Linked DNA regions of Pelodiscus sinensis. Each later gene encodes a partner of the first gene's protein in a complex. Links are inferred from orthologs where the notes say so. Each region holds a gene or a part of one and is shown on either strand. Other genes may lie near its edges.

Region 1 (7,583 bases):
CCTCCTCCTCCTCACACACCCAAGTTCATGAATGAATGTTGATTGGCTCATTGTAAAGATGATTCTCGGGAAGGGGAGGAGGGGGGTACATAGCAAGGAAAAAACTTTGTATATGACTTTTAAAACAAAAGAGGACAACAGTATTTTTCAAAATTGTATATAGCGCATATGCATGGACAAAGAGCAAGCGTGGCACGTGTTTGCATAATGTTTAATTACAAAAAATATTTATTCTTTAAAAATCTTCAAGATTATGTCTATTTGCTGTGCATTTTCTTTGGGTTTGCTTTTTTTAGCCCGGGGATTGGGGTGGGGGAAGTGTGTGCTGGTGCAGTGACTCTTTTGAAGGCTTTTACGTGAGAAGTCAAGTTTCTCCTCTTCCTGCATCGTTGATTCCCTGGCCTCCATGGTTTGTGTCCATTGCTGGCAACGGAACTGTCCCCTCCTAAGGCAAACCGATTAACTTGGTGTGCGTTTCATTAGAGACGAATGCATGTTGCCATTCAGGATGCTTTGTCTTTTTCACCCAGAATGTTATCTGCCCAAATCAAACCTAGCTATTCCCATGCCACCAGGACCTGGGCTCTGAACCTGGCTAAGAATCAAACCTATAAGAAGTGTGTTAGGAATTTTTCGTTTGATGGAGGAAAAGGGGGGTACTCGCTGACCACTTCTCAAAGAGCATTGAAAGAGTTTAACTGTGGATCTCCTCCCCTTTCCCGTTTGGTATCAAATGGAACATTCCTTGCTGGTTTGAGTTTCACTTACGTTATTACAAATGGTGACGTTAAAAAGGAAGATGGTGGAATTGTCTGTTTGTTTTGGGCTCAGTTATTGGGCAAACTATCCTGGCAAATATTAAACACTCCATCTAGTGCAGTAGCAATTGAAATCATTGGGATATTTTTTCAATTAAAAGGGTTAAGAGTTCTAGCTACTGCGTCCATTTTTATTATTTCTGTAACAAGAGCTATGTTGAAGTACACAATTGGTGGTGGTTTTATTAAATTGACTTCTGTATAGGAATCCCTTCTGTGGTATTTTTCACCAGGCCATTGTCCTTAAAAGCTTGCTGACAACCTACCAAGTTCAGGGGGCAGGAATAAAGGGGGAGCTGAGGCAGTCTAGAGAGAGGTTCCCAATATGAAACACCAGTCTGTCATTTCCTTCAGCTCTCTTGCGCCTCTTGAAGATGCTGCTGAATTCAGACATCTACAGGTTAGCTTTGCGCTCCCACTCTTGCTGTGCGTCACCTTTCCCAACGGCTTGTTTGCCTCAAGCCCTCATGCAGGACTGCCGTGAAGCAGAATGAACGCATGCACCCCACTCACCAACTTGTGTCCTGTGCACATCTCTTTAGACAGCTGCTGTGGGGGGAATTAATGTGAGGGTGTGTCTGTCTGAAGAACTCTGTTCTAATAGCCTGGGCGCCCCACAACAGAGACATCACCAAAGAACATCAGGCCTCACTTCTCATTTAAAGAGTCCTATCATTGCAGCACTCTAGCTCTTGAAAATATATTCCCTTAAATGTAAATGTGAATCAAAATGCTTCCTAAAATGGCATCTCTGCCTGGAGCTAGCAGTGATGTGTGGGTGGGAGTCCCCTGAAGTGTTCCACAGTTAGCTGTTTAAATGTCCAGTGGTTCCCTCCCCTGAGAACTGAAACCCAATGTACATGCAATTTCAGCTCCTAACATGAAGGGACATATTGTGTTTTTAAATCGTGAGCTGTATAGACCTTATCAACTGATTAAAACTGCCATCTCCCATGTTGTGTTTAAGTTGTGCATGGGCCACCTGTCTCTGATTATTTACTTGCTGACTCTTTATCCCAGCTCTTGTACTCTAATTCTCCATACTTATTGAGAATTATCCTTTTCAGTAGTGCCAGCTGCAGAATCTCTTGCTGAGTGTGAGACTGTTTGATCATTCACGTAAGTTGGCAGGCCCTTCCCTTAAGGGCAAATATTTGTGGTTAGGAGGTATGGACTGGCTGTTTGATAGCAATATGCAAAATACTGAATGGGCCTCAGTAACTTGCTCTGGGGCTAACTCTGTGACAAGGCCCCACCAATAGAAGGCAAATCCGAACAGCTTGTCTTCAGAACCCTACAGTCCCTGTAGCTCACTGTGGCTCTGGTGATATAGGGATCAATGACTGCCTGGTGTTTAGCTCCTTTTAGTATGACCACAGTATTGAAGTTAAGAGTGAAGTAAATCCTCAGCCACAAAACACACACATGCTCTATCCTCAGCTTTTGGCTGACGGGGCCCTATTCAGCACTTGGGGGATGGTATGACAATCAGACTGGCGGGTTGATGGATCCATGACTCCTACCTTCCAATTTTCCATCCGGAGAGCACCTCGTACTGTGGAAATAATTGTTCTTAGGTAATTTCATTGTAACTGCTGGAATGTTGCCATGTTAAGGTTAGAGGGAGAGAAAGCATTCCTAATGCTAATAAACATTTATTTTGTTAATTTTATTAGTTATTTTTGTGTTTGTCATAAATTGCTAAGGTATGTTGATTGGTGGTTTGATTAGGAGGATCTGTTCATAGCTTGTCTGTCTAAAATAGTGACCATGACATCACAGGACGTATAGGTCTGGATTTTTCTTAGTGGCCACTTGGATTCTGATGTCAGTCTCATGGCCGAGTGGTCAGGATGATAGTTTCTTAATGTCCATATGTTATAAATGAGCTGCCAAGCCCTCCCGGTGAGAGAGGTGGTGACTGCTCGTAAAAGCCGTAGTACCAGTCTCTTCTTGAAATGTGTGCATAGGGAAAGAGGAATGTGTATGTCAGAGTGGGGTAGCTTCCTCCACTAACTACCCAGTCATTATAGAAATGAGCCTTTATAGGTTCCAGCAGTCCATGAGCAGAGGCAAAGCTTGGAGCTGATTAGCCCTTCTGATGACTGTCTGCAACCAGATGTCAAAAGGCATCCAAAGAGCCAAGGAATTTATGCTACAGATTTCAAGAATAATACTGTTTTGGCTCTCCATCCAAAGCTGCAGTTCTTGTATTTACACAAAAACGCCACGGTCTGGGTATCTTCCTCCCTTCTTATGGACTGATACTCTGATTCTTCAGTTGTAGCTACTTTACTTGGCATGGGGAAAGAATAGTACAATGACTTGTGAGTTTGAAAGAAGACATACAGTTAGATAAGGGAATGAGATTACAGGTGCTTAAAGTAATAACAGCTTTGGGGCAGGATCAAATAAAAAACCCTTTCATCCTAAATATTTTAAATGGGGGGAGGGGGGAGAACTGAATATTCAATGTCATCGCTTAGGAGTCTTAAGTTCTCATTGCCCTAGTTTGTTGAAAACAGTGTCAAGTTCCCTGTATGTGTTTGTGAAATACTGTTTATTTAAAAGTCCCACTTTCTGTAAACTCCAAAGTATGAGAGCAGTGAACTCACTTCTTCCATGCCATCACCTCTCCTCTCTCTCAGCAAATCGTAAGTATACTGAAGCTGTTTAAACATGCTTGCTGGGATCATTTAACTTTTAACACTGCCACAAGAGCCACCCTGACCCCACTCTCCACAGGATTTTGATTTTAATCACGTTTATTTTTATCTCTGTCCAAGTCTTGCTAGTAAAGGCACATTTGAAAAAGTGACAAGCACATTTTTAATGGTCTAGTTTAATACTTAATTTCAGCTACTCTTTCTTCCTAATTGAGCCTGGGTCCTCAAAGGGATTTAACTGAGCATGCTCAGCACTTAAGTACCTAACCGGCTCTGGCCCTTAGTGTCAACCTTTTTAAGGGCAAGCCCAGATCTAGCTCAAATATAAATAACCTTGCTCTGCTCCCCCTGCTCCTTTTCCTCAGGCTGGGGCAGAGGGTTGGGGTGTTGGATTAAGGAATGCCGAGTGCGAAGGGCTCGGGGCTGCTCTTGGGCCAGGGCGCGGGGCTGCCGAGGGGTTCCGGCAGGGTGTGGGGTGCAGGAGGTGGTCCGTGACTGGGGTAGGAGTGTGGGAGGCGGCTTCAGCTGGCTCGTGCTGACCGCGGGGTTCGTGGGGGTGGTGCAGTGGGGCCTCTGGCGCATTCCCATAAGCAACCGGCACGCTCCAGCCCAGTCCTGTTATATCTCCGCGCCCAGCCCAGCCAGCAGGAGGCTCCCAGGGGCAGAGACGAGCAGCGGGGGGAGGGGCTGTTGAAGTGACAGACTCTTACTCGTCTCCTTCCTCCCTTTCTCCCCTCCCCCCCCCGTGGGGCCAGACCCGGGGCGGGGGAGCCCACCCCCCGGGACGGGCCTGTGCCTCGGGCTAGCTGCGGGGAGGGGGCAGCCTCCGCGGACAACCGGAGTGGCGCTGCTACGAGCGGTTTGAAACCCAGCCCTCGAGCAGGCGGGGGGGGGGGGGCGGCTGCTGCCGTTGCCATGACAATGCCTCCGCGGCTCCGCCTCCCAAGGGGCGTGTCTGTGCGGCGGCTCCTAACGCCTGGACCAAGCGCGGCCGGCTCCGCCCTGGGCAGCTTGCATGGGGGGAGGGGGGCAGTATGAGCGGGTCGGGGTCTACTGTGACGTCACAGTCCCGCGCTTCCGCAGCCCCCTCCCTCTGCTGGCCGTCGCGCTCAGGGTACGTCACGCGCCCCGGGCTGGCCTGGGCCCATTGACGTCACCGAGTCCCTAGAGCCTGGGAGGTGGGGGGCTCCGCGTCGCTCCGCGCGCTCCTAGGCAGCCGGACCTAGTAGGGGACGTTGCTATGGCAACCAGCCGTCGGGCTTCGCGATTGGCTGGACACAGCCAGAAGGCCCCCGGCCGGCATCGCCCCTAGACGTCAGTGCGAGGCTCTTTCCGGCGGGCGCGGTGGTTGTCGGTCCTATGGCCCGCCCCTCTCTATGGGTCCGCTCAGCTGGTAACCAGGGAAACGGACAACTTCCGACGCCGAGCAGGCCTGTGGCGGAGCGCTGGCGGAGCCGGTGAGAGGGGGCGGGGCTGGGGATACCGCGCCAGACCCCGCCCGCGCGGCCTCGTTGCGAGTTCAGTATCTGGGGGGGGGGGCAGTGAGGGGCCCTCCCCAGGGGTGGGGGTCGCTCTGGTGGGCCCGGGCGGTGCCGCCTAGTGCTGCTGCCTGAGCCCTGCACGGGCGCTGGCGCCGCCCCCCGCCCCGAGATCCGTGCCCAGCCCCCCGGAAACGGCCCCGGCGGCAGCTGGGATCTCGGTGTCGCTCCACTCGGAGTTGGGTGCGAGGCTGGGGGCGCGGAACGCGAGCTCCTGGGCCTGGGGCGTGGCGGCGGGAGAACGCCGCCCGAAGACGCGCTCCGCACGTGGTGGGTCGGATCCCTGGCAGCGGGAAACACGGTTCAAGGGACTCGCGCGTGTTTCAGAGACGCTATTCAAGGTACAAGAGCAACTGTCCCACGGCCCAGGGGAGATGAGAAGGTTGAGAGGAGAGCGCCCTGGTTTAACTAGGAGAGCTGGGATGAGCTATACCTCTACAAGGACCCCACAAAAAGAGGAAACTAGCTTACCTTACAAAGAAGGAATCTAACCCCTCCCCCCCACAGGTATGTAGGGACAAAATTAGATAGGCCAAGGCTCAAAATGAGTTCAGATTAACTAGAGCATGGGTTCCCAAACTGGGTGTGTGTGCCCCCCTGGGGGGAGGCTTAAGAAATTCTGGGGGTGGGGGGTGCACAAGGTGACCCAGCCCACCTGTCAATGCCCCCATTGCCCCCCAAATTTCAATTTTTTTTTTGCTCAACAAGATTTGCTGCTATTTTGGGGGGGGGGGAGTGAGGGTTTCTCAAAAATCAAAAAGGGGGTGTGATGCCAAAAATTTTGGGAACCACTGAATTAGAGGAAGTCTATGCAGCAATGAGAAGACAGCAGCAATGACAGTGGCCAAAGCACTGGTTAGCACACTGTGCACAGTGCTGAAGGGCTGGCCAATGGGAGGCCGTGCCCCTTCTTGGAGCTGGCCCCCCCACACCTTGCCTAGGGACCCAACAATTCTGTAGCCCTCTTCTCATCCCCAGCTAGAGACATAAAGAATAACAAGAAAACATTCATTCTACAAATATGTTAGAAGCAAGAGGAAGACCAAAGACAGGGTAGTGAATCAATGAAAGGGGAAAATAGTAACCATAAATGTGCAAATGGCAGAGGTGCTTAATGACATCTTTGTTTCACTTTTCACCAAGAAAGTTGGTGGCTGTTGGATACCTAACGTAATGAATGCTGGTGAAAATGAGAAGGTTCAGAAGTTAAAATAGATTCAGATTAATAATTGTTTAGTCAAGTTAAATGTCTTCAGGTCACCAGGGCCTGCTGAAATGTACCCTAAAATTCTCAGTGAGCTGACTGAGAAGTTATCTGGGTCTATTAGTTTGCTTTATAACTGACTGCACTGCATTCTCAGGCTGGGCTCTGACAGTCAAACTGGTCTTATTCTGGTTCACACAGTTTCAAAGAGGCAAAATGTCATCCTTGGGTGTTTTAACAGGAGTGTTGTATGTACAATGCAGGAGGAAATTGTTCCAGCGGACATGGCATCGTTGAAGAGTATTGTGTCCAGTTTTGGACACTGGTCTTTAAGAATGCTGTGAGCGTCCAGGGGAGAGCTTACCTACATGATTAGAGGTTTAGAAAAATTGACCTATGAGGAAAGGTTGACAGAATTGAGCATATTTAGTCTACAAAAGAGAAGGCTGAGGAAGGACATAACAATCTTCAACTATGTAAAAGATTGTTTGCAGAAACCATGATCAGATGTTTTCCATATCCACTGAGGGTAGGACAAGAAGTAATCAGCTTAGTTTGCAACAAAGGAGATTAAGGTTCGGTATTAGGAGAAACTTTCTAGCTATAAGTGGAAATAAGGACTGGAACAGGTCATGTAGGGTGGTTGTAGATTCCTCGTCACTGGAGGTTTTCAAGAATGAGTTAGATAAACAGCTGTCAGGGATGGGTCTAGGATTACGTTATCCTGCCTCAGTTCAGAGGGCTGCACTAGATGGCTTCTTGAGATCCTTTCCAGCCCTAAATTTCTGTGATGATAAGTCACTTAATAATTCTGATAATGATGAGTGATATAGAACAGAATCCAGTTTGCTCACTCAGGGCGGTCAGGCTAATACAAATAAAATGCAGTCACTAGAATGAGCAGGTTCTGAATACCCCCAAGGGATATTGGTGGAGAAAGATACTGGTCGCTAGAGTAGTACTTTGCTGTAACAGTGGGTTTGTAAGGAGAGCATCTGACCCCTGCTTCCTTTCAGAAATAGAGTGAACCACTGGTGTCAAATGTTATGAACATTTTGGTACCCCCAGCTGCGGAGTTTGGCAAGTAACAGCTCTCAGTGAATTCATCCCAAGATCAATTTGTTTTCAGATGAAAATCAATTTAATTTTGACAGACAAATTGTTTAATTGCTGCATTTCAGCTTGGCATGGCACATCTGGTAAAAGGATTATGCCCTGAAAGCCTGTGTGTGACCTACTTTTATTTAAATCACTTGAGCATGGTGTTAAGAATTTTTCAGTTTGGCATTAGGCTGAAACTATTGACAGTTTGATCTGTGAAAAGTATAATGTAAAATCTTATCACAAAGCAGCATCC
Region 2 (8,169 bases), on another chromosome or scaffold:
GGAGGCTGTGAAGGCTAGGACTATAATAGAGTTTAAAGAGAAGCTGGATAAATTCATGGAAGTTAGGTCCATAAAAGGCTATTAGCCAGGGGATAAAGTGGTGTCCTTGGCCTCTGTTTGTCAGAGGCTGGAGAGGGATGGCAGGAGACAAATCGCTTGATCATTGTCTTCGGTCCACCCTCTCTGGGGCACCTGGTGCTGGCCACTGTCGGCAGACAGGATACTGGGTTAGATGGACCTTTGGTCTGACCCAGTACGGCCGTGCTTATGTTCTTATGTTTATATCACTCAGCCTCCCCTCGTAGGTCATGTGCTCCAGCCCCCTAATCATTGTGGTTGCCCCCTGCTGGACCCACTCTAATGCGTCCACATCCTTTCTATAGTGGGGGGCTCAGAATCGAATACAATACTCCAGATGTGGCCCCACCAGTGCCAAATAAAGGGGAATAGTACAAGGATGCTGATTAAAAAGATATTCTGGTTTATTTCTGACTGGGCCATTTACCATTTTAACAAATTAGTGTCAGATAGATTTTCAGGATATGTCTAGACTACATGGTCCATCGACAAAGCCATGTAGATGAGTTTACTAGACATAGGAAAATGAAGCGGCGATTTAAATAATCGCCATTTCATTTACATCAAAATGGCCACCGCGCTGTACCGATCAGCTGTTTGGCGGCACAGCGGGGCAGTCTGGATGTGCTGCGGTCGACAAGGGACGCCTTTGTCGACCACTCCAGTATGCCTCGTGAAATGAGGCCTGGGGGAGGGGGAAGGGGGATCAGCAGGGCCTTCATGGGCTGGATTCACCTGCTTGGCGGGCCAGATCTGGCCTGCGGAGGCTCCTTTGCCCACCCCTACTTTAGACCATCCAATGGGCCTGCTGCCTAGCATTCAAGTGAGCACAGGGAAACATGCCCAAGTGAAATCAAAACCAGAAAGAAAACTTATTAGGGAAACAATTATTTCCTCATTCTCTTTTGATCATTGATCCTCTTACCGTTGGGTATAAATTTAATGAGCTTTTTTCCCCCAGCTAATATCAATTTGGGGAACATTACCAGAATCTGCAGTATCTCACTTCATCTAGAGGGGTCACTAATACTAGCTGGCTGCGTCAAGTCTGGCATGATTTTGCGGAAATACTTTTAACAGAAAAGTTTGTCTGTTAAAAGTATTTCCGCAAAAGAGCGTCTAGATTGGCTCGGATGCTTTTGCACAAAAAGTGCTTTTGCGCAAAAGCATCCATGCCAATCCAGACGCGCTTTTGCTCAAGAAAGCTCCAATGGTCATTTTAGCCATCGGGCTTTCTTGCACAAAAAATTAAGGTGCCTGTCTACACTGGCCCTCTTGCGCAAGTATTCTTGTGCAAGAGGGCTTTTCCCTGAGCGGGAGCATGTAAGTATTTGCGCAAGAAGCACTGATTTTGTACATTACAAAGTCAGTGCTCTTGCACAAATTCAAGTGGCCAGTGTAGACAGCTGGTAAGTTTTTCCGCAAAAGCAGGTGCTTTTGCGGAAAAACTTGCCAGTTTAGACATAGCAGCAGAGTGTGCGGTTAGCAGGTTTACAAATGTTATCTGTTCTTACATGTGTGCTTTTCCTTCTTCAAATTGCTGCAGTAAAGGGCAGCTTGTACAGGCCACACAAACAATATCATTAGCAAAACCTAAAATTACATTTCAGCTTGGAATTGAATTAGTATTTGGATACCATATACGTTCAGAGCCAGGAAGCTGATGCAGCATTTACTGACTTGTGTGTTAGTGCATGACAGGCACGCCCTGAATTACATACATCCAACTTACAAACATCCACACATACAAACAATTGCTCTCCTGCAGCCACAGGGGAGCAGGCAAGAGGTGGCAACAAGCGGCACGGGTGCGGGCCGTCGTACTCCGGAGGAGCAGGGAAGTGGTCATACAGCCACAGGATGGAGAGAAGCAGCATTGTTAAGGGGAAACCGCTACTTCTCACTAGCCGCTGGCTGCATGGCTGCCCCCTGCTCCTCCTAAGTCCCCTTGTTGAGTGAAGGCTGGATGCAGCCCCAGGGAGGCACTGCAGAGCCTGCAGTGGGGAGGAGAAATGGCAGCTGGGGAATGGCCAGAAGTCCCCTTTAGAATCTCCACCTATCTTCTCATCCTTATTTAATGAAACCTGCCTTTCTGCAAGCACACCAACATTCAAGGTTAAATAAAAAAATATTTCTGATATTTTTCATTGCAAATATACAGTATTTCAGCTATATTATGGGTTTAATAGGGTTTTGTGGGCTAGTCAGGGAACCTAGCTACCATTTATAACATTGTTTCTATGGGAAAATGTGTTCCGGGTTCCAAAGAACCGGCTTACAAACAAACTTTTGGAACATAACCTGATCGTAAGCTGGGGACTTCCAGTTCTTCCTAGAGCTCTTCACTGAAAGTTACTACTAATGGTAAAGAATTGTCTAACAAACAGGTTCTGCATGTATGTGAGAGTGATGCGGGGAATGCTGGCAAATCTGGTTTTGCTGCATTTGTCTTTTAGCATTTAAAAATGCCCCTAGCCTTTGACTACATTTTAAACAGTGGCACCACTCATACTGCAAATTGTAGGACATCAGATTTGATCACACTAATCAGAATTTGAAATCCTGAGAAACCACTAATGGGCAATTCTCTTGATACAGGTTGAACCTCTCTAATCCAGCACTATCCATGGTCTGACATGATTTTATTTGGCTGGATGTCTGCTTATCATGGGTGTGGCCACGTTTCCCACAGTCCCATAAAGTTTGTTTACAGTCACCAGCCCTGGCTCTCAGTGTTCTGTGCTGTTATTTAGCTCTAATTTACCCCTGTCAGGTTCAAGTTCCCTGGCTCATTCAGTTTTCTGAGGCTGACAACAAAGGCACAATTCAGGATATGGCTGCTGGGCAGCTTCTGTGCTGTGAAATCAGACAGAGGTTCAGCAAATCCTTTTGCAAATATATCATTTAACAAGCTGTCAAGTGATAACTTCTTATAGCCTCCAACCTAGGCTGGACTTAGAGCTAAAGGCAAAGGGCTATTCCCTCCAGCCCTTTTCCAGAACATCCTGCACGCATGTCAAATGGGAAATCTGGCTGGTTTTTAACCCATCAGGACAGATTTTGTAGTGCTGTGATGGTTCCTGGTGAAAAGCTATAATGCGCTGGGCTTGTTTCCACATGGGACTAGGGATGTAAATACCCCTTAAAAATGTTAACTGATTACACGATATAACTTTAATTGGTTAACCAAGGTCTCCAGACCAGGCCTCTGTGGGCAGCAGAGCTGCTCCAGCTTGCTGGGGTCCCACCATGCCATGGGTGGGGGGCTGCTTTCAGCCCGGCCCCGCACATCCCAGTGGGCCCAAGCAGGCTGGAGCGCCTCTGCCCGCAGCACGGTGGTCCTGGCCAGGCTAGAACAGCCTCCTTCCCGCATTCAGCAGAGGTCTGCTTCAGCCTGGCTGGGCTGCCAGTTAACCAGTTACCCGGTGAAAAGCTGCCCAGCACCAGCGATGCTTACTGGGTAACCAGTTAACCTTTACATCCCTACCTGGGACCAACATCCCCTGTAAAATACAAACACACGCAGCTGTGCATCGATCTTTAACTACCACACACATCACACTGAAGGGGCATGGCCAGAGCCTGGGTCCCCTTATGTGCTGGGCCTTCAACCAGCTCAAACTACAACAGACCCAGGAGCAGGTTGAGGGGAGAGAGCTCTTGGGCAGAAGCCATCCAGGCAGCATTGAAAATACATTAAAACCGCTTATAGATCCTGTCCTATTGCAACCCGGGTACCTTTTAATAGCTTCCTGCTGGCTTTTGCTGCAGCTCACCCAGCTCTTGCCAGAGCTACACACCTGGGTGCATCTGTTTACTTTCACCTGTGCCTCCAGGACAGAGGTGGTGGCTTGTTTGTCGTTCTGAAAGGAGAAAACCCATACAGCAGAGTCTAGAGTAGCTGGCCCCCAAGATAGAGAGACTGAAAACAAAGGCAAGTCAGATACCAGAGCCAGGGGCGGATATAGGGCAGGGTGAACGGGGCGGCCGCCCCGAGCCCCGCGCTTCAAAAAGCCCCGCGCATGCGCCGTGGCAAAGGGGGGCCCCCGCGGAATTATGCTGCCCAGGGCCCTGCAAAACGGTCATCTGCCCCTGACCAGAGCATGCACCAGGTCGCTAATCATGTTCAGCCTGAGGGCCGCATGCCGGCAACCATGGGCAGTGGGTGAAGGTAGGGCTAGGCTTGCTCAGCCCAGCCCCACCCCTCCTACCCAGGCTCTGCCCCCATGTGTACAGTAGGGCTATGTCTACACTCACGGCTTCTTGTGCGAGTAATATGCAAATGATGCTAAGCGTGGAATATTGCTGAGCCTCATTTGCATACGTAATGAGCCACCATTTTTTTTCAGAAGAGGCTCTTGTGCAAGGAGGAGCATCTACACTGCCCCTTCTTGCGCAAGAAAAACCCTCTTGTGCAATGCCGTTACACCTATTACTTTTCAGGAAGAACGGCATTGCGCAAGAGGGTTTTTCTTGCACAAGAAGGGGCAGTGTAGACGCTCCTTCTTGCGTAAGAAGCCGCGAGTGTAGACATAGCCTAGGTGTTCTAGGGGCAGAGTCTGGGTGGGGCCTGGCTAGGGGTTTGGGAAGTCGATGCCCCCCCCAACCCCCCCAGCAGCCCAGGACAAGGCTTAATTTGCAATACACCAGGGCAGACTGAGGCACTATGAATTATGGAGGTGTGGGGTGCCAAGGCATTGCCTCCACCAGGACCCCACGGACTGCACCCCTAGCATACAGCAGCCCTAACCTTCCCACTGTAGTAAAGCCACCAGAGTTCCCAGCCCCAGTATGCAGTGTGCTACCCCAACCGCGGACTACAATTCCCAGCATGCAGTGGGGTCCCCTACCACGCTTCTCCGCACGCAGTGAGGACAGGGACGCACGGGAAAAGACAGCGCAATGCATGGTGGGAGCGATTGTTATTGAAAGGACACTGCGCCTGCGTTGAAGCATTGTATGCACTGCGCATGCGTCTACTCGCCCTGCTGCTGGGTCAGCTAACGGTGATTGGCCGCGGAGCGGCCTGACCGCGCAGGCGCACGGAGTCAGGCAGGTTTCTCCTGACCCGACAGCGCCCCGGACACCGCTATGCCCGAGGGCAAGTCCCCGCTCCGGGAGGTGCTGCCCAAGCAAGGTGACCGCCCCCTGCTCGGGCCCCTGCCGCCCCCACAGGCCGCCCGCGGGCGGGGGAGGGAGGGGGGGGGGTCTCGCCGCCTGCGCTGCCGCCCGGGCACCCCGCTCAGCCCCAGGCGGGTTGGGGGAGGGGGAGTCGGGCGCGCAGCGAGGGGGGCGGCTCCCAGCGCGAGGAAGGTCCCGCGCGCCTGGTCCCCGCCCTCTCGCGCTGGGGGCGTTTGGCGCGCGGAGCCTGGGCTGCACGCGCTGACGTCAGCGCTGCCCCGCTCAGTAGCAGTCAGGTCCCGGGGCCCGCGCTGCTAGCTCAGGGGCTGGCAATGGTTCTCGGGGGGGAGGGGCATTTCGTGGCGTTTGCCATGGCCCCGGGGCACGACTGGGGAGTAGCCTCCCGCCAGCCTTATCTGGAGCTTTGAATTAAAAACCTAGCAAAGGGGCTGACAGCGCCTGGCCCCAGGGCAGCCGCCCAGGGTTGCTGCAGCAATTTTAAGGGCTCCCCTGCCAGGGTAGCACCACAGCTGGGAGCCTTTTAACGAGGATCCTGCTACCTGAGTCACCTTCTGGAAACTTGATGGCATGGGCAGCACAATATAAAGAGAAAGTGACCAGATAAGGTCCATGGGGGCAACATCAAAGTGTTAAGCAGCATCTTGCTTGCCCAGCCTTGATCTAGCCCATCCTGTCTAATCTGCTCTTAAATCTCTCCAGTGACAGCTACACCCTCCTAAGACAGTTTTTCAGTGCTTAACCACCCTGACTGCTAGGAGGTTTTCCTACTGTCTGACCTAAACCTCCTTTACTGCAATTTAAGCCCATTGGTTTTTATCCTATCATCAGAGATTAAGACAAGGTTTTTTTCCTACTTGTAACACTTTTAGGTACTTGAAAATGCCTCATGTTCCTCTCAGTCTTACCTCTTTTCCAGTCTAAACAAACCTTTGAAATTTTCATATCATCTGCTCCTTTTTCCCACCCCCTTCCATTTCCCCCCATCTTCTCCCCTATTTATTTTGGGTCTGCACAACCTAAACTCAAAACTCGCATCATCTGAAGAAATGGGCTATGCCCATGAAAGCTCATGATACCATCTACATGTTTTGTTAGTCTATAAAGTGCTACCAGATCATTTGTTGTTTTTTTAAGTTCATCCAATTCTTTCAGTCTTCCCTCATAAATCATGTTTTCTAGACCTTCTTGTTGCTCTTCTGGATGTTCTCCAGTTTCTCCACATCTTAAGCATATAGCAGTTTTGACAACTTCTCATTAAAATTACTAGTTCTAGAAATTAAGTTTGAAAGTTGGGATTGCAGATAGTGTTTCCTCTAATCTTTTCCATCCTGTACAGAGTTTTTCCATCCATGTGTGCTATATATTTGTGCAGTCAGGCATGTGCACCCCCAACAGAGACAATATCTAGCTGTGGGCATTCTACTAATCAGCTGGGTGGCATTTTATTTTCTCCTGAGCAGCCACAAAAGTGCACAGTTAACAGAAAATACTACTTCCAGGGCTGCTTTCAGATAACCTATAGCACTGAGTTCTAGCATCTGTGCTGATAAAAATGTAAGAAATGAAAGCTGTCCCCAAAAAATAAGGCATGGTGTTATATAAGTAATCTGCTAATATGCTTGGCTACTGTTGGAAAGCTGAGAATCCTAGTCATTAACTTGATTTTTTTGGAGACAAATATAAGGAATAATGATAGTCTAAAAAAAGTCTGTCTTTTTTGCATAGATCTGAATATATATGAGTCCCAAACCATGGCCTTGTGACTCTTCATTTCCTGAAAAAAAAAATTTTTCTTATGGTTCAAAGACTATGAGCCCGCTTCTGAAAAGCAGGCCAATTCTTTGAAGTTAATGACTCATGTTTTTGCAAACCTTTTCCCAAAAAGAACAGTATATTCTTTTTGAAAGCTAATACTATCTTGTTCAAAATTAAGTATTATCTAGGCTTTCTAAGACATTTGATGCTCTTATTTCAGAAGTATTTGTACTTGGTAGTAAAATGGATGCCAATTACATGAAATTTACATACTCTTTTTTTTTCTTTCTACATTTCAGGGCAACTGTCAGTAGAGGATGTGGCTACCATGGTATTATGCAAGCCAAAATTGTTGCCTTTAAAATCTGTTACCCTAGAAAAGCTAGAGAAAATGCAGCGAGACGCACAGGAAACAGTTCGCCAACAAGAAATGGCACAAAGGGAGCATCAGCAACAAAGCCAGCAATAGAGTGCAAAATGATTCACCCCTTTTAAGAAATATTTTACCTAAATACTGTATCTTAATCTAGTGATTTGCTGTACAGTTACTAAAAAAGAGTTCAGAAATGGTAGAAGTCCCTTCTAAGCTTTCTTAGTTGGTGTCTTTTATTGTACATATTACATATTACAAATGTCTATAGATTTTGCTGAAGATGTGTGTTTTGGTTAGTATGCTTACCCCTTTCTGTGCAGTTGCATCTTATCTTTTTTTTTAATCTCTGTAATTGTGGGTTCCTCCCCCCCCCCCCAGCGCTTCCTAAGGAAATCCCCATTTTAAAAGGCCATTTACAAAAAATGATCTGGGGTCTTCTAATGTTTTGCTGATGGTCTCATCTGCCATACCAAGATGTTAGGGTGGGTGGAAACACTCTGACAAGAGGAATGGGTATTTGTTAAAATCCCTAATCAGTTCCCTTGTTGCTGGCTAACCCCCACAATCTGCCTGCCTGGATTGTCCTGCCCCATTTCCAGTGGTCCCTGTTGAACAGGCAAGGTCTTTGTTCTAATCAGTAGTGCTGGGGCTTTTGTAATAACCCTTGTTTCTTTAACAGATTTGGGATAGGTAATACCAATACAGCTACTCATTCCATTACTCTTGAACAGGTATATAAATCGTTCTGGGGCTCTGGACAAGGTTTGCTAGAAAAGCAGGCTGCTGCTTTAACTTACCACAAAATGGCATATATCAGTTCT

Evidence for each region.
Region 2: the proteins of BBS4 (region 1) and BBIP1 are in contact, whole or in part, in a cryo-EM structure (PDB 6VBV), measured with the Bos taurus proteins. The link is inferred for Pelodiscus sinensis from reciprocal best matches to the Homo sapiens genes BBS4 and BBIP1. Residues at the interface, in NP_001069424.1 of Bos taurus: Leu210, Leu213, Tyr236, Leu240, Ala241, Ser244, Gln247, Thr248, Ser269, Pro271, Asn274, Asn275, Met278, Phe281, Gly282, Lys284, Tyr298, Leu299, Pro301, Leu302, Asp303, Trp304, Lys305, Ile306, Tyr308, Asn309, Leu312, Leu315, Thr316, Gln318; in XP_003587939.1 of Bos taurus: Met7, Phe8, Arg9, Glu10, Val11, Leu12, Pro13, Lys14, Gln15, Gly16, Gln17, Leu18, Tyr19, Val20, Glu21, Asp22, Leu28, Lys30, Pro31.

What each region holds. Positions count from the first base shown.
Region 1 is NC_134724.1:37,826,499-37,834,081, forward strand, and holds the start of BBS4 (BBSome complex member BBS4), read left to right. Parts: upstream 1-4,510; 5' UTR 4,511-4,941; intron 4,942-4,978; exon of another isoform or gene 4,979-5,363; intron 5,364-5,379; exon of another isoform or gene 5,380-5,529; intron 5,530-7,583.
Region 2 is NC_134718.1:66,893,947-66,902,115, forward strand, and holds BBIP1 (BBSome-interacting protein 1), read left to right. Parts: upstream 1-5,056; 5' UTR 5,057-5,169; coding exon 5,170-5,215; intron 5,216-7,274; coding exon 7,275-7,444; 3' UTR 7,445-7,627; downstream 7,628-8,169.